Linked DNA regions of Caenorhabditis elegans. The protein of the gene in region 2 interacts with the protein of the main gene of each other region in a pairwise test. Each region holds a gene or a part of one and is shown on either strand. Other genes may lie near its edges. The genes, in order: sta-1, C06A6.2 and trp-2.

Region 1 (8,020 bases), 8.8 Mb from region 2:
AATTTTTCACTGTTTCAAGAATTTGTGAGAAAAATTGTTGTTTTCTAATTTCAATTTCTATTGGTAGAAACATTTTCACATTTTACATGTCTACAATGTATTTTGAGAGATTACAGCTCAAGTCAATGTTTTGTCAAACCTTAAAAATTGGGTCTCGACTCTAAAATCTGCGACTTCTGGAAAAATTTAAATTTTTCAGAAACATGATTTACAAATAGACAATTTGAAACATTTTTTGTCATTTTTTGAAGAGGCATTGTCCGAATTCTAAGCCATGATCTTATCTCTTTTCAGTGAAACAGAAAAATATTTTCATTTTGCGTTTTTTTTTAATTCGTATTTTTAATAGGCTGGCGGTTATTTTTCAAAGTAAAATAAGAATTATAAACCGTTGCGAGACCTTGTTTTTTTTTCAAAAAAAAACTGAGTGATTCACTAATATTTTTGAATATTAGACTTTGAAAAATGAACAACTTGAAACATGCTTTGGCATTTTTCCAAAATAAATTGCTTTAAATTCATCAGGCTTTCTAAGTAGGCGCTAAGGCCTTGTTGAAGCTGTAGGTAGGCAAGTCGTTCTGCCTACATTGCTGCCTACCATTGTTTCAACTAAGCCGAAAATTTAAATGTAAGTGTTATTATTTCAATTAATTTAATGGCAAAGAAATGAAACACATTCTTCCCCTGGTAGAAGGCACACGTCAGGCGTAGCTTGCCTATAGTCAAACAGTAATTTTCGGCCCAACATAGCAGCCCTTACATCGATTGTATCTAATATTTTCAAACTTTCGACCAGATGTGAGATGTTTACTGATGTTAGAAATTAACCGATAATTTATCAACAACCTGAAACAGCATAATTTTTTTTTAATTCACTAATTTCAAAATTTGACTTTCTTGAAGAATTACACCGTAGGCAGACAGGCTAACTTTTTTGCCTTAGAATTTTTATAAAAACGATTAGTTTTTTGAGTTACTCCGTGCAGTTTTCACAATTTCCGGATTTTATTTTAGTAAAAATTCCACCCAGTTTCAGTTAGTTATTATTCACGAGCGCATGTTTCTGCATTCATTCTATTTTCACACCGTTATTATCCAATTTTAAAAAGTGTCATTTGTAACCCACTTTTGCCTATAACGAGAAAATTCAAAAAATTACAGTTGGAGTAAAAACGGAAAATAGGCGGTAGGCAAGTAGGTAGGCAGGCAGGAGGTGTCCAGTTATAGAAAGTGTTCATGTTAACATTTCATGTACTTTCATGATGTTTACTAATTGGATCCAAAAAATATTTTTAAAAAATATATCAGAAAAATGGGACTGATGTTTTTAATAATTATTCAATGAAACAGTAGAAAAATGAAATATTTGGAAATGAAACTTTTTGTTCAAAACTGCTGTGCTGACAGTTCTTATAATAAATTATTAAAAATCACAGTATCGAGATGGTGATGAGACCTAAAAAGTACGGAGAAAAGTGTATTTAACAATTATACAATTGATGCCATTTTCAATATCGTTCAATGAAAAAAACCATATAAAATTATTTAGTGAAACAATAGAAAAAAAAAAAATTTTTTTAAATTCCTGTATTTTATTTAAATTGGCAATTTTAACTTTCATTTGAATATTTTTGTAAAATGATCACAGTTTCAAAAGATTTAGATCAAATTATAATGATGCATTTGTTGTAATAAGTATTTCGGAATTGCAACATTAACAAAAGAAGGGACAACTTTTATAATTCTTAAGTGAAACAGTTGAAGTTTTTTTTCAAATTTTTGTTAATTTTGTTCAAAATAACTGCTGACATAATTTATATCCACGTTCAGAAATATTATCAAAAGTGCTTCAGCCTGAACGGTGAAATCATAAATCACATAATTTCCAGCCGGGCCGCAGAAAATAGGTGGTAGGTAGGTAAGCACAAGGCAAGAAGGTGTATTTCTTAGTACTGATGTGAATGTGAAAAATGTGAACATTATTTATATATATTTTTCAGGGTGATTCACAAAGATTAGAAATATCAAACGATTGCAATTGAAGCTATTTATGATTATTCAATGAAACAGTAGAAAATTTGAACTTTTTCTCAAATTTTTCCAATTTCTTAACCACATAAAAAATATTTGTTTTGTTTAAATGTGCCAGTTTTCATAGCAAAATTTTGAAATTCAAAGGTTTCAAAACGTGGTAAGACCCGAAAATTGTTGTTATGAAAGAGAATGCAATAAGAATGCAATAACTTCAAACCAAATGATAAAAGTATTTAGTGAAACAGTATAATTTTTTTTCATTTTTTCAATTTTCTTCACACTTATTTTTTACTGTAACTGAACAAACTTAACATCTTGTTAAGTTTTCACTCCTAAAATTAACTTTTATTTACCCTTTTTTTTTATTTGGCACTTCTGACTTTAATTTTAACATTTTTTGTTTAAATTGATCACTGATTGAAAAGAGTTTAATCAAATTATAATAATTAGAAAAGATGAAGGAGTATTTTCTTAACATTAAAAAAAGAAGGAACAACTTATATAATTCTTAAGTGAAACAGTTGAAGTTTTTTTTTTTTTGGACGGTGAGAACATAGATCACATAATTTCCCGCCAGGGCGCAGAAAATAGGCGGTAGGCAGGTACGTAGGCAGGTACGATACTTACGTCCCAGTAATCGCGTGAAAATTCAATTCACTTTCGTGGTTACAGAAATATCAAACTATTGCAATTGAGGCTATTTATGATTCTTCAATGAAAAAGTAGTATTTTTGAACTTTTTATTTTTTGTCCAATTTCTTAACCACATAAAATATTTAGTGAAACAGTATAATTTTTTTCATTTTTCCAATTTTTTTTAAACATTTCCATTTTTGACCGTAACTAAGCATACTTAACAACATGGTAAACTTTTCGCGTCTAAAACTAACCGAATATCCTTCAATTGTGGACATGAAGCAATACGACTTGCCAGTGACAATTGATCCAAATCCTTAATAGTAAAAGGTGCCAAATGAAATGGAATCTTTTGTCCATCAGCCTCTTCACAAACAAAACCAATCGATACAGCACCAGTTTGACTGTCAGAGAATCTCAATAAAAATGAAGAGTGCTGACACATCATCATACTTTGAGACGCATCATTTTTTGAAATAAATCCAATGCACCATCCCTCATCCCAGAATTTGAGCAGTTTTTGTTTGATTAATTGCATTATTGAGAAAAACCATTCCCAAAATGAGAATGGTAAGTCATCTCTCATTGCCTGTTTTGCGAATCGATGAAATGTGATTGGCTTCTGATCTGCCACATTTGGCATTAACATTTTCTCACTTAAATATGCCAAATCTGAATCTGAAAGTGGACGACGTGCTCCCGTGAATAAGGAGAACTTGTTTCGAAGCATTATTGCTAGATTGTCCCATGTCACAGCTGTCACATCAGTTGTATTTGGATTTCTGCTGATTGAGGCGAATGCGCGGTGCCAGAGAATTGCAACTTGCGCGTCACAGTCTTGAGATCCGTGTACTGTAACCATTATTGGAAGAGAAAGTGTCCAAACGTCGAATTGTTCTTCCTGTTAAATTTTAATTGATAGAAATTGGAGGACATATTAAATTTTGAAAATTAAGAGTAGCTGAAACAGTGAAAATTCTCAAGTTTCTTTACACTTTTTTGAATATAGAATTACTGCTTTTACTAATCCAGTTAGAAAATTTCAGTAATTCAAAGTGAAAACCGAAAGAAATGTTGGAAATGTTTGGTTCAACCATTGTTCGTTTATCAGACTCAAATTTTGAAATAAATTTTAAACTTTTTGTTGAAACAGTGAAAAAATAAAAAATAAATGTTTTGCTGTTTCACGTTGTTTTTAAAAGATTTTGCATTTGAGTTTGAGTTACTGACTACGTTCAAAAAAAATCAAGTCATAATTGAAATATCAACAACTTACTTTGCTCAAATTACCCATTTGAAAAGGTGTAATAAAGAATAAAAGAGCATATTTCTGATCAGTAGCTGCCTGCATACTTGCTGCACATTTCAAGTCAGATGCTCCTTTTGGGGGCGGTTTTCTGTGTGCAATTCTTGTCAATTTTGAATTATTGAATTTTGCCGCCAAGTGTCCTCTTTCATTCATTGTGAGCTTCTCGAAATCATTGGAAATTGTGCCAACTGTCTTGTTGTTACGGCTGAAAAATATTAGTGTTGAATATAGTGATACAACTACAAATTAACCACAAAAAATAAGAAAAGTATATAAAAATAATACGAAAAAGTATAAGTTTTAGAAAAAAAAATTTTCTCAATTTTTCAAAAATTTACTGTTTCAAATTTTTCATTAAAAAAAACTCACATTTCCTTATGTGCATCATAGTCAACACTCAACTGCTTGGCTTCATCTTCTGCTATAATTTTCACTGAAACATTTGTGTTCACCAGGTGTTGACGAATTCCCAGCTTATCGCCAATGAGAAGACGGACCTGGAAATTTTAGTTTTTTTTTGTAATTTTATTGAAAAATCAGGATTCTGAAATTGCTGCGTCCCACAGCGGAAACTACAGTAACCCGTAAAATTAGGTGGGGTGGAACTGTAGTTTTTGTGGTGGGACCCAGAAATTTTCAAGCTGAACAAATGCGTGGCACACATTATATTCGAATTGAACTTCTTAAATAAAATTGTTGAGTATGACTTACATATTTATTTGAATGACTTTTGAAACGGTAAAGTTTTAATTAAAATTTTTGAATTTTTTTTTATTGTTTCTTATAATTTGCTTGAATTCTAACTAAGTTGGGTCTCGTCACGACGGTGTGGTTTTCGCGGCGGGACCCACCAAAATTTGACATGTATAATTTCCATTAAAAAACAAACCTCAGTGACAAATTTATGTTGAGTCTTCAAAACAGGTTCCGGTTGAACGGAAACAATAAAACTCTGTGAAACCAGCATAAAAAGTAATTTGTTCAATTGTTCTGTAATTGCAGTCAACTTTCCAATTGTTGCCTGAGCGAGCCCATCATTTAACTGTGGAGCACGTCGGAGCAAGTCGAGCATCCAACACGAGAACATGTTAAGCTGCCAGTTTTGATCAGCGAGAAATTCGAATTCAATTTGAATTTCATCAAGCAGCTGTTCGCGATTATCGAAAGGCATTCCGATTTGGGCAAGTTTTTGGGCATTTTTCCAGGAGAACAGCTTTTCGCCAATTAGTTGGGTCTGGAAATGAAGATTGATTAAAATATTGCAACGCATAGAAAATTTGATTAAACTGTGAAACAGTATTTTTTTAAAAATATTTCTCTTTAAAAAAAATTGTCAAATTTTATGCAAAATCAATGTAAAAGGAAAAAAAAGATTAAATTTGATAAAAGTGTGAAACTGTAAATATTATAACTAACTTTTTTTCAGATAAGAGAGCTAGATTGCAGGCCAGTTTTAAAGTATGACATTTTCGCGCGTTCAATATATGAAATGCATGGGAAACATTAAATTTTTAATTAATTTTTGTATTTCAGTTCATTTTTGATGTAATTTCATATTAAAAGATTTCTTAATGCTTTTTTTAAACAAAACATTCACTTGAAACATTAAAAGAATAAAAATATTTTTAGCATGAATTTACTGAACATGCAAAATTCTTCAAAATTTGAAGGATTTTTCAAAAAAGTAAATCTTGTATTAGAGTTTTTTAATGGAAATGGTCTTCGACAGTCAAGTAAAGTAAAAAATTTTAATTCATATTTCACAAAACTTTGAAACAGTAAAATTTTTTTTATGTTTTTTTCATATTTTTTCACATTAGAAGAACCAACCTGTAGCATCGTCGCAAAATTGGTGCCATCATTAAGTTTAATGACAATATCATTTCTTTTCTGTGTCAAATGCTCATAAAGTGTGGCTGCTCTTTTCTGTAACTCTGTCATTTGCTGTTTCACAGTGAATACATTTTCTAGTCTCTGTTGCTGTTCCAGCTGTGCAATGACCATTTGCAGACGTTGAAGCTCGCCGAGTTCATTCACAAATCTGCCTTGGAGGTCCTTATTCTCTTCCCACAAGTGATGGCAGGTCTTTGAGACGTCGGTTAGAGCTGTTTGAAGCTCTTGCGACGATGAGCCCATCATGTCTGGAAATTTCAGATTTTTAATGAAGGGAATGGGAAGACAAGGAGGTAATAAAAAGGAAACGTTTTCAAAGAAAAATTTGTGAAAAAAAATTGGTTAAAAATTTTTTTACAGTTTCAAGAATTTTATTTCATTTTCAGTGTATTTTCAGAATCGACGTATACTTTAAAAAATTTTTTACTGTTTCAAATAAGTGATTAAATTTTGAAAGATTTTGTTAATTTCAATTTGATTTTTCACTGTTTCTGAAAACTTTCAATGTAGCATATTCGCTTGACAAAACATATTCATTTTCATCAATAATTATGAAAAAAAAAAAGAAAATATGTACGTGCAATGCAAGAAAAAATTGCGAAAACTTTCAATTTGTGCGAGTTGTTGAAAGAGCCGTGGCTCTGCACAAGAACTCGAAGGAAAAAACTAATGAGAAGTTGTTGGCTCAAAAAAGCGGAAAATGGGCAAGAGATGCAGAGAGCAGAAACACTTGGAAATGTATAAGAGCTCCAGGAGCACACACACACACGGGAGAGAGTATCAAAGAGAGCACAGAGACGCAGACAGTGTTACACACCGCTAGACGCAGAGACTTGTGTGTTTTCACACCACTTTTCCCCTGTCTCAGCTGATATCTGTGATGATTGGGGGGACGGAAAAAAATGGAGATATTATTGAGGGATTAGAGAAAAATATGTTTTTTTTTTCAAAAAAAAAATCGTTCAAATTAATTTTGAAACAGTAGTGGTTTTTTCAAGTTATTATAAAATGAGCTGAACATGAACATTTAAGGTTCTACTTGTATTACCCAACCGTGAAATTTTGCGCGAAAATTACTGTATCGGGTCTCGACGCGACAAATTACTGTTCAAATGTTCTAAAAATGTTCGAAAGTATGTATGTTTTTGTGGTTTTTATTCAAATATTTTTTATTGGAAAACAATTTGAAAAATCTGGAAAATTTTCAAATTTTGGGTGAACGACGATTTGACGGAAATTTTGGAAAATTTTAACATTTTTCCACTGTTTCAAGTTGTCTTTAAAAATACCAACATTTTATTTATACGTTGCTAGATTTATTCCAGTTTTTTATTCTGAGTGTATGAAGTTCTATTATTATTTCTCACTACTGTTCTAGCATTTTGAGGATTATAAAATGTGGTGTTGAAACCGAAAATTTAGTTTTTTTTAATTTTTTTTCGGCCAAGCTGAAATAATTTTGCGTGTTTTAAAATTGGCTTAGAGTCTGGAAATTTTATAACAATCTGACAAGTAATCTGAATATACCGGGAAAAAGAAATTGAAAAAAAAATTATACTGGGGCTATTTCTATATGGAACCTTAAAGATTTCAAACTTGAGAAGAAAACAATACTGTTTCAGATTACTGATATTGTCTGAATGTATAAAATGGGGTAATACAGTGTTGAAAATGAAGGTAGTATAATATTTTAGAAAACATATATATTGTTTCAGATTGCTTACATATGAATCGAATAATGTTTCTCAATATTTAAATTTTTTTCAAGTTTAATGCTGCTATTGTCGGAAAGCAAAAATTGTCAAACATTACTTCGAAGTTCGATTTCACTAGTTAGTGAGCTGAAGTTTCGTTTTTTGTTCAAACTAGGTAATTAATAGAGCTTATAAGACTTACAAGTTCAAATTTTTAGAAAAAATGTATCTTGTTTCAGATAAGTCAAGTATCAATGGCAATTTTTAATTGAAATAACACAAAAGGCACAGCAAAATTTACAGAAAGTTGGATGAAAAGTTTACTGTTTCAGGTTACTCATATTCAATATGGAAAATGAATTGTTATCGATTATCCTTCTGTATTACATCCTAATAAGGGTCATTTACAGTTAGATATAAATTGAAATTTTTCTATCAATTATTTCGTTTTACA
Region 2 (4,772 bases):
TCAAAGTGCTTCATAATCTTAAGCCGACCATGAGTAGTATTAACATAAAGTCTAAAAAACCTGCAAATCTTCACTGGATCAAAAAATCAATGTTCTTGGAAAATCTGAAACTACGCGATTAATCATGTGCTATTTTGATTCAAAATTATATAAAATATATGTGATCTTTTCAAGAAATCCAAAAAAAGTTAATATACAATTGAAAGTCTAGGTGCCTGCCCATCTGGCACCGTACCAGTACATTCATCTATTGACCTGTCTTTTCTCATTCATCGAACAGATGGTAAACTAATATGTTTCTGAAAACAATACAGTTTTAAAAGGTATTTTGAAGAAAAAATATCACGGTTATCTGATATCTGATATCTACCAACCAGATATCTCCAGATTCATAGAAGAACCAGATATCTGAAATTGATTTTATATTAGATCTGAAAACTTTTATTTGACAACTCCATCTCAATTTCAAAAATCGTGAACCACACATTTTTCAGATTTGGATGTTCCATTTCATGATTGTCACGTAGGGAAGAATTCCCATACTTCACAAAACGGAATCTTTAAATGTTGTTTGCGATCACCTAGATATTCTTGGTTCTTTCGAGCCCGTGGGGCCTCGAGATGTCTTTTTTTGCGCCGCCCGCTACTATTGCTGGCTGCTGTGTCGTCTTCGTCCAGGGGGGCAAGGCACACCCTCTCCGCCTCCTTCCCCACCCCCCACACATCGACCACTCGACGTTCAAGAAACAACAGGGCAAACACGGAGGATAGAGACATCGAGATATTGTGTAATTTGAAGAGAGTCGATGACATAGAACGCGGCGAGATGTGGGCGGGGCTTGTGTTAAGTCCCGCCCATCGGCGGTTTGGAGAGAATTGATCGAGGCCGAGACGGAGGGCACGCTGTTGGGAGAGAACACACACAGACACACACACACACACACACACATATATATACACACACATACCCGGCCCGTTTGCATGTTTTGGGCTATTTTCAGAAATTTGCCAGATTCGTTGGCCAACCCAGAAAGTAGGCGTGGCCTTCCAGTATTGCCCATTTTCCACATTTTCAGTGCGTTTGGTGCTGCAAATGAGCATTTCCGTGATCTAGATTTTATGTCCAATGGGTTACAGTGCCTCATCATTGGTAAACTTCTGTTATTTCAGTTGATGGTGCATCTGCACTTAAGAATTTGACATTTTCAATTAACTCTTGGCGTTTTTATTGTTTCTAAAATCTTTTTTTTCTATTTGTACGCCAAATTTTGTACTGAAGGAACTTTGTAAACCCATCACACTAAAAATATCATATTTCTGTCAGGATTTATGCTATGGTTTTATAAACACCCAAAGTTAAAAATTCCTTATCTGTAAAATTCCCAACAGATAAATTATTTTTGGAATTTGGAAGTAAAAAAATAAATCGAAAATTTTGCAACTTTTTTCTACTAAAAACCCCCTGGAAATTAAATGGGAAAACTTATTTTTTAAAGAACTTTACCCTTTTTTTTCATTTTTCCCTGACGGCCTAGAAATTCTCATAGTGGCCAATGATTCCCACAATGTTCTCTGTGTCTCTCCGCTTCACGCACCCTCTCGTTATCTCATTTTACGCGTACCGTGGCGCGAACCGTGATTTTTTTTTGAAAATATTTTTTTGCAGAAATAAAAGCGGATGTTCCGGCAACTCAGTGAATTATATATAAGTACTCTAAAAGAGGCAAAAGAAAGGGTTTGATATACGACAATACACTTCAAGTACCAAAAAATATTAATTTCAGTCTCCACCCAACTTTGATGATACACCACGTGGTTTGTTACTTGCTCTCATTAAAGACCGACCGACAATTTGGAATTCTAGTGCACGATTAACAAAAGATGATGTTCTAGCTTCATTTCAACAATGTTCCGCAATTTTGTCAAATATGGATCCTGGTTATTCGAGTAAGAGTTTTATTTATTGAAAATTTAATAATTTAATTTGAAAAAAAAACCTCAAAATTGTAAAGGCATTATAAAAATTTTTAATAACGTAAAAAATCTGTGATCTTCAAAAGTTTTCAAAGAAAAGTAGGGAGACTTACTAGTTAGACAAAGTAACATTTTTTAGAACCTAACAATTGTAAATTGAAAATTATTTAGGTATCTGTAATTTTTTCTGTCCATGTGATTCAAGAACTTCATAAATTTTAATCTTTTTTGCATTTAAGAATTCCCAAAAGACCCAGAGATGAATTTTTGCTCTCTAATTTCATATCAAACTAATTTTTTCTTTATTGCAGTATGGGCGGTCATTGAAAAATGGTGTTGGGTTGTTGAGAGCTACGTGAGGTGCTCAGTGACGGCTCCTCCATCAGAATGGCGTTATAATAATACTCTTGATTATTTGAAGCAGTTTGCCACCACGAGTTATCCGTATTTAGGGTAAGTGTCTTTGATAAATTTCATAAAATATAAGCTTTTGCTAAAAACTGTCTCAATTTTGACTCCAAATAGAAATGTTTTGTTTCAAGCTTTTTGAAAATATGCCTCCATCAATTACAGTAATCTTATTGAAAATTTTTTTTAACGGAAAATAAATCGTTGTTAAGGCATTGCATTCCGTAATTTTTAATTTGGTTTTTATTACAAAATGTATGCAAAACAATTTCAGATGCCTTTCAAAGAAACGACGAAATGAATTAACGAAGCTATACAATGATCCGGAAATAAATGTAGTTATGCAAAAAACGGAAGAAATTGAATTTCCTGTAGGAATTTTCCGGGACGAAATGTTGTATCTTTCTGGAGAAGATCACTTAATGCAATATGATTTAGAACTGAGAACTGTTGGACAAGTTGTTAATGCAAAACGAAGAGGCAGGCCCTCAAAAGTCGATAAAGTATGTTTTTAAATTTTTAAAAATGGAAATAATTGGAAAAGATGCCTCTGAAAATTAAATGGACCGCCTTGATTATTCAAACGTTCAAAAAAAACATTTTGCCGAAGATACTTTTGAGCTAGATTAGACAAACTTTAACCTTAAAAATGTTTTTAATACTACAATCTTTCTCAAAAACCCGAAACCGAAAGTTTTCAACTTTGTTCAGAGAATAATGATTAAATTTATTTGTTGAGGGATAAGCATTATTTTAATTTGATCTTTGCGAGGTTCTAACGGAAAACCTCCATAAAAATAAAAACCGTCCAAAAGGTGTACGTCTTCAATTTAATATATATGGGTTACTGAAATTCTCCATTGCACAGATTTTTTTTGGTCTCTAATGATAACTATTTTGTTTGTAGTGAGTGCGCGTTTCGTATTTCAAAGTGAAAATTTTCACAGTGGTCAAGAATGAGCAATGATTAAAAAAATTAATTTTTTGCTCCAGCGCCAGTGCCGATTTAGTAAAATTACACTTATAATTCACCAAAATACGGAATATCAAAACAGTTTTGGCAAACTGCCAAACTTTTGACAAAGTTTTCCTATCTGAGAAATTTAATTGATTGTGGCTTATTTGAACCCCTGCAATGTTTAAATACGAATAATTAAAGTTTTTTGGTTGACCACCAAAATTATGAGTGACGAGAAATTGCCAGTTTTAACTAAAAGTTATAAAAATCCTCATACTCCACCTTTACCTGTTTATATTTCAATGTATTGTTTCATATTTCAGCGATCTCCAGTTGATAATTTCTATAATTTAACGCCACAATCTGCTCAATTTCAAAAGCTACTGGAGAGCAATATGTCAAGTGCATTCAGCATTGCTTTTGCCGAATCTGAATTGATTCCCGATGATTTAGGATTTTCACCGGCAATGTACATGGCTCTTATCGATATGATTCAAGATAAACCAGAATTATGGCAATCAAATCATCCTCAAAAGGATAATTTACAAGCACAAGAGCAATTGTTTGAAGATTTCGGAAAACAATTGATTATAAAGTTCCGAGATACAGCAGATATTAGTGTTCTTGAAAAGTTAACGGGCCCATACGTTCATCTTGTTTGGGAACGACTATTGGAAAAGTTTAAAGAAGAGGATAGCCTTGAAACAGTATCGAAATGGAAATATTATCAGGTTGGGTTTTTACTTAATTTTCCAAAAATATTATCGCCAAAAAGCCTTCATAAAATGAACTACCTATGAAAAATTATTCAGAAAGAGCTACATTAAAAATTCAATTTTTATGGAATTTAATCTAGTTCAATCATGATAAAAACCCTGTTTAAAATCAAAATTTTAGAATTATTTTATTCGGAATTTAGTACAGGTTCTAGTTTTCCAATAGCTTCCAAATTTTTATTCTAGCTGAAAAATAATTTGATTAAACATTTCTGAGTCCCAATTATTCACATTTTTACGCATTAGTTTAGTACTGTAGTTTGAATTTTTAACAAAGTTCGTTTCTATAGTTCTAAATTTCCTTTTCATCCTCCCAACTTCGTGCATTGTGCACTTCGGAACTGACAGCTGCCTACCAGCTGTCGCGGTCTCCACACCACTGGAGTTTTTTTTTCTGAATAAAAAAAATTGGAGCAGAAATATACGCAGCCAGGCTTATTCAACGGAATACTACCCTAAAGGTTTAGCAATTATTTGAAATTCTCGAAATATAAATTGGGAGAAAGTATATATATATATGCATGAACAGGGTCCGAAATAGGCCAAGTAAACGGGAAAGGGAATCTAGGTCGATTGTCGATGAAGGCGACTTTGTATGTGCGAGTGACCTGATTGCTATACGGGGGCTCGCAATGAGGTCATACCTCGACAGAAAA
Region 3 (5,102 bases), on a different chromosome or scaffold from region 2:
TAAAAGTTTTGGGTCCCACCACGAAAACTCTTGGGGTACTGTATCTAGTACGAAAAATGTTTTTGGTAGTATTTTTATCACAAAATCTAGAAAATCTCTTTCAATTTACACTAAACTGCGGAAAATGCACAAAACTGGCGGAGTTAGCGATTTTTAAATTTTAGAAAAAAATTTTTTTTTTGAATTTTAAAAAATTTTCAAAAATTCATAACCTTGTTAGTTTTGAAGATTTTTAGCTAATTTTTCGAGAAAAAAAATAGACGGAAGCTTAAGTTTTATGGGAAAAATGCAAAAAATGACACAAAAACAGTATCTCACTATTTTTGAGACTAAAAAAAATTGAAAAAAAAAACTCAAAAAAAAAATTTTTTTTTGGTTTTTTCCCAAAATTTTAGAAAAGTTTCCAACTGAAACCTATACTAATTTAAGCTTTTCTGAAAGCTCTTCTTATGCTCTATCCTATTAAAAAACTGTTTCCCCTCCCAACTCACCTCATAATCTGTGCGGAACTCATTTTCAATAAAACTCAACCGCTTGAGCTCCCAGCTCAGCTCGAAAGCGTACAAAATCGGGTCTCGAGCGGAAAGACAGATGAGCGACGGGCTTGTAAGTGCTCTATAGGCATTTATCCGTGACCTAGAAAGTCGCAGAGAATCCTCTTCCCTTGCCACGTAGCACTCGGGGCAGGAGCATCTGACGTCATGGGGGTGGGGTACCGTACCCTTCTTGTCCAAAAACAGCTTTATGCACTCGTAATTGTCTTTGTGAGCTGCTAACACTATTGGTGTGATGTCTGGAGTAAATGCTGAGTGCTCTGTGATCTCCACTCCTTGGCGCTGAAATTTCAGAAAATTTCAAATTTTCAAAAAAAAATGTTTTTTTTTTGAAAGTACAATTTTTAACCAATTTTTTGAACTTTTAACAAAAATGTTATAATATTTGCACTGGGCTAACTGAGAGCTTTCAAATGACCCCCATCATGTCCAGGTTCCGCCAACTTTGAAATTTTGGGTCCCGCCACGCGGGTTACGGTAGCTATGTTTCAGCTGTGTCAAGACATGAAAATGGCGTAAACTAGGCATGATGGGGGTCATTTTGAAGCTTAAAATGTGAAAAATTCAAAATTTCAATTTGAGAGATTTTCTAAAAAAAACATTTTGTGAAAATTAAAAAAAAATTTTTTTTCGAAAATTCGTACCTTTTTCAGTTTTCGGTTAATTTTCCTGAAACCTATCTCAAAATTAACCCAGTTATCTGAATTTGTTATAAAAGTTAATCCAAAATGAAAAGTTCGCTTCCTACAGTACCCCGAGACTTTTTCCCGACGGGACCCAATTTTTTTCCCGAAAAATTAAAAATTCTCAGAACCCAGTCATGATTATACTTTTCTGAAAGCTCTCAGTGCGCTGAAACTAAATTTTACGTTAAATTTCATATAAAAAATTCGAAAAAAGTACCTCCGAGTCAAATTTGTCCATTTTTTCCAGGTGCTCCACTATGATCTCCACCGCCTCCACGTTTTCCTCTCCAATTGCGTAGAGAATTGCGTCGCCGGTCTGAAATTGTAAAATTTTTGGAAATTAAACAAAAAATGAGTTAAAAATTTAGATTTTCGAAGTAGAACAATTTTTTTGAAAAAAAAAACATTTAAATCTGTGAAAAACAATTTTTTTTTGCCCAGATTTTCAATTTGGCTTCTGTTGCAGAAATTGTTTTTGTGACATACAATAATAAATTTCAAAACAAATAATTAAGGGCTTCGAAAAAAATTCAAAAAAAAATTCCAAAAAAAAAATTCCAAAAAAAAAATTCCAAATAAAATTTTCAAAAAAAAATTTTTTTTTCCAGAATTTCTCACTTTAGGCTTATTTTTCGAGCACATTTTAAAAATGCTTTTTTTCTTTAAAAAAGTGTGCAAAACGAAACCTCAATATTGTGGTCCAATAGTAACTCGATCATCTCGATGTTCTCGTTTTCAATTGCGATGAGAAGCGCGTTTCTGCAACCGGGAGGGGGAATAAGATATAAACCGGAACTCGCGGAGCCCGTAAAAATTCAAGTGTACTATGCTATAAAATATATTTTATTCGGGGAAAGAAAAGTTTAAAAAATGTTGAAAAAAAATTTTTCAAAAATTTATTAGTTTCAAAATTTTCTCGAAAAAATATTAGAGCTATTGCATTTTATTTATAAAACTCGAATTTACAACGCTTTCAGCTTTTAAATGACCCCCATCATGCCTAAGTTTCGTCAATTTTGAAATTTTCGGGTTTCGCGACGCGGGGTACTGTAGCTCTGATTTCAGCTGTGTCGGAACTTAAAATTGACGTAAACAAGGCATGTTGGATGTAATTTGAAAGCTTTTTGTATCGTAAATGCAAATAAATATATGAGAAAATTTAAAAAGTTCGAGAAAATTTTCCTCAAAAAACAAAAATTTTTTCTTTTTTCCTCAAATTTTGCAAAATTTTCCATTTTTCAAGCTAATTTCAAAAAATTTAAATTATCGACGTTTTCAGCTTTTAAATGACCCCCATCATGCCTTAGTTTAATCAATTTTGAAAGTTTTGGGTCTCGCCACGCGGGGTAGTATAGCTATGGTTTCAGCTGTGTCGAATTTCAAAATTGACAAATCATAGGCATGATGAGGCTTATTTGAAAGCTCTCGGGGTGCTGAATTCAAATTTTTATTTTCAAGAAAGAAATTGTAGAAATTGTAAAGAAATTTGCAACATTTCGAAAAAAAAAATTTTTTTTCAAAAATTTAATTTTTTCAAACTTTATCAAACCTACCTGCCAAGCGGATCCAAACAATTTATATTAAAAGTTTCCGTTGAAATTCCAGCCAAAAGCTTCCTAACACTCCCAATATCTCCCCGCTCGCAGGAGAGCAGGAACTGCTTCTCGCGGAGCCGCGAGTTGTCCGACTCGGTCCACGTGACATTGTTGCTGACGTCATCGTCATCTTCAATCATCCGAAACTCGGATGCTTCTGATGATGTCATTTTGGCTGGAAAATGGAAGGGTTTAGGGAAAATTTGCGATGTTTTGGGACGAAATTTGAAAAAAATTAAAAAACAAAGAAATTCCGAATTTTTTTAAAATTTACCGCTAAAATTAAGGGCATCAGAAAACCACGTATTTTATGAAAAAATTTTAAAATTGGAGGGAATTACAAAAAAAAAAGAAAAAGTGTCATAAAATATCTGAAATCTGACACTTTTTAGAGCACAATATTTTTATTTTCTCCAGATCGCCTGACGGAAAAATGTATTTTAGTTAGGGACGTTTTTGATTTGAAAAATATTTCAAAAAGATAATACACTAAAATTTAATACTGAAAAAATTGTATTAAATTTTTTTTGGATAACATTTTTTAAATAACATTTTTTTTCAATCCTCCAAAATTTTTTTAACCGATTTTCAAATCTTTAAAGAAGTTTATTTATTAATTTCAGAACGACAATAGCTTCAAAATGACCCCCATATTGCCTATACTCCTTTGATTTCGAGAATTTGGGTCCCGCCACGCGGGGTACTGTAGCTGTGGTTTCAGCTGTGTCGGAGCTTAAAATTGACGGAAACTAGGCATGATGGGTGTCATTTTGAAGCTAAAATAAAAAAGTTCAAAAACTGATACGGAAAAAAACCTACAATTAAGTGGGTGTTTAAAAAATATTCAAAAAATATTCAAAAAAAAAATTTTTGAAGAAATTTATATTTTCTCCACAATTTATTAATTTTTGGTTTTTTTTTTAAATTTGAATTTATATTATTTACATTTGTGATATCGAGTGCTTTAAAATAACCCCCAATACGCCTATATTCCATCGATTTTTATAATTTGGGTCTCACCACGATGGGTACTGTAGCTGTGGTTTCAACTGTGTCGGAACTCAAAATTAACGGGAACTAGGCATGATGGGTGTTATTTTGAAGCCAGGAAAATGAGAAATTCGAAAAATAGGGAATAAAGCTGCAAAAATACGAATTAAAAAAATTTGCAGCAAAACATTTTAAAAAAATTTTTAATAAATTTTCGACACAATTTTTTTTCTAAAAACCCTATTACTAAAACCAGAAAACACTTTAAGCTTCACAAGCTCCGCCGAGAGCATAATAATGCGCGTTTTAAAACACACATCTCTCTCCCGGAGACGCTCATAATTTTTGCGCTTTTTCCATCACTTTTCCGCAAAGTTTAACAGCAATTATGTGTAGTTTTTGACTTTGACAGGAAAAATTGTTGGAAATAATTGAAATGAGATCAAAAAGTTATTAAAAGTTATTAAAAAATTGTTGAATTTTTTTGTCCTATTTTTTTCCGAAAAAAAAAAGATTTTTCCAAAAATTCTTTAAAAAATTAAGTTTATAAAAATGAGATTATAAAAATCAAGTTAAGATTTTTTCTAGCTTTCAAATGACCCCCATCATGCCTGGGTTCCGTTAGTTTTAAAATTTTGGGTCTCGCCACGCGTGGTACGGTAGCTCTGATTTCAGCTGTGTCGGAACCCAAAGTGATCGGAAAATAGGCATGATGGGGGTCATTTTGAAGCTGAAAATGTAAGGAAGTCAAAAATTTTTATGAAAATGCTCACTATCAGGAACCAACACTTCACACAAAGTTTTCAAAAAACGATTTTTCAGAAAAAAACAAAAAGAAAAGATTTTTCCCCAATTTTTTAAAAATTGTTTAATTTTCTAGATTTGAAACTAAAATTTCTATGATTAGGACATTGTAAGCTTTCAAATGACCCCCAACAAGCCTATATTCCGTCAATTTAAAAAATTTTGGGTCTCGCCACGCGGGGTACGGTAGCTATGCTTTCAGCTGTGTCGGAACTCAAAATTGACGGAATATATAAGCTGAAAATGTAAGAAATTCAAAAAATTTCCCAGGACTCCAAGACTCTTCCATAAAACCAAATAATGAAAAATGTTTCATTAGGAGGGGTCTTAAGCCATCATGATTGGGGGACGACGATGGGATTCTGGAGCAAAAAGGGGGTGAAAAAGAACAAAAATTGAGAAATAGACGAGAGCAGCACAGGAGCAGCAGCAGCTTGTGCTCCACGGAGCTAAAGAAGAGATAACAGAATTTC

The links.
Region 1: the proteins of C06A6.2 (region 2) and sta-1 interact in a two-hybrid assay, tested with the Caenorhabditis elegans proteins (one large-scale study listed by BioGRID).
Region 3: the proteins of C06A6.2 (region 2) and trp-2 interact in a two-hybrid assay, tested with the Caenorhabditis elegans proteins (one large-scale study listed by BioGRID).

The regions. Positions count from the first base shown.
Region 1 is NC_003282.8:16,662,420-16,670,439, reverse strand, and holds the start of sta-1 (Signal transducer and activator of transcription 1), read right to left. Parts: upstream 6,121-8,020; 5' UTR 6,119-6,120; coding exon 5,810-6,118; intron 5,714-5,809; exon of another isoform or gene 5,693-5,713; intron 5,438-5,692; exon of another isoform or gene 5,417-5,437; intron 5,334-5,416; exon of another isoform or gene 5,313-5,333; intron 5,231-5,312; exon of another isoform or gene 5,214-5,230; coding exon 4,869-5,213; intron 4,856-4,868; exon of another isoform or gene 4,835-4,855; intron 4,673-4,834; exon of another isoform or gene 4,652-4,672; intron 4,477-4,651; coding exon 4,349-4,476; intron 4,226-4,348; exon of another isoform or gene 4,205-4,225; intron 4,185-4,204; coding exon 3,947-4,184; intron 3,919-3,946; exon of another isoform or gene 3,898-3,918; intron 3,779-3,897; exon of another isoform or gene 3,758-3,778; intron 3,572-3,757; coding exon 2,925-3,571; coding exon of another isoform or gene 2,888-2,924; intron 2,778-2,887; exon of another isoform or gene 2,757-2,777; intron 2,712-2,756; exon of another isoform or gene 2,691-2,711; intron 2,510-2,690; exon of another isoform or gene 2,489-2,509; intron 2,452-2,488; exon of another isoform or gene 2,431-2,451; intron 2,236-2,430; exon of another isoform or gene 2,214-2,235; intron 2,026-2,213; and 16 more. UniProt on the Caenorhabditis elegans protein: Carries out a dual function: signal transduction and activation of transcription. Activated STAT proteins play a role in repression of dauer formation.
Region 2 is NC_003282.8:7,844,964-7,849,735, forward strand, and holds the start of C06A6.2 (MADF domain-containing protein), read left to right. Parts: upstream 1-1,658; 5' UTR 1,659-1,678; coding exon 1,679-1,735; intron 1,736-1,784; coding exon 1,785-1,947; intron 1,948-2,285; coding exon 2,286-2,427; intron 2,428-2,656; coding exon 2,657-2,885; intron 2,886-3,663; coding exon 3,664-4,071; intron 4,072-4,647; exon of another isoform or gene 4,648-4,772.
Region 3 is NC_003281.10:989,784-994,885, reverse strand, and holds the start of trp-2 (Transient receptor ion channel domain-containing protein), read right to left. Parts: upstream 3,006-5,102; coding exon 2,794-3,005; intron 2,000-2,793; coding exon 1,927-1,999; intron 1,557-1,926; coding exon 1,458-1,556; intron 837-1,457; coding exon 492-836; intron 1-491.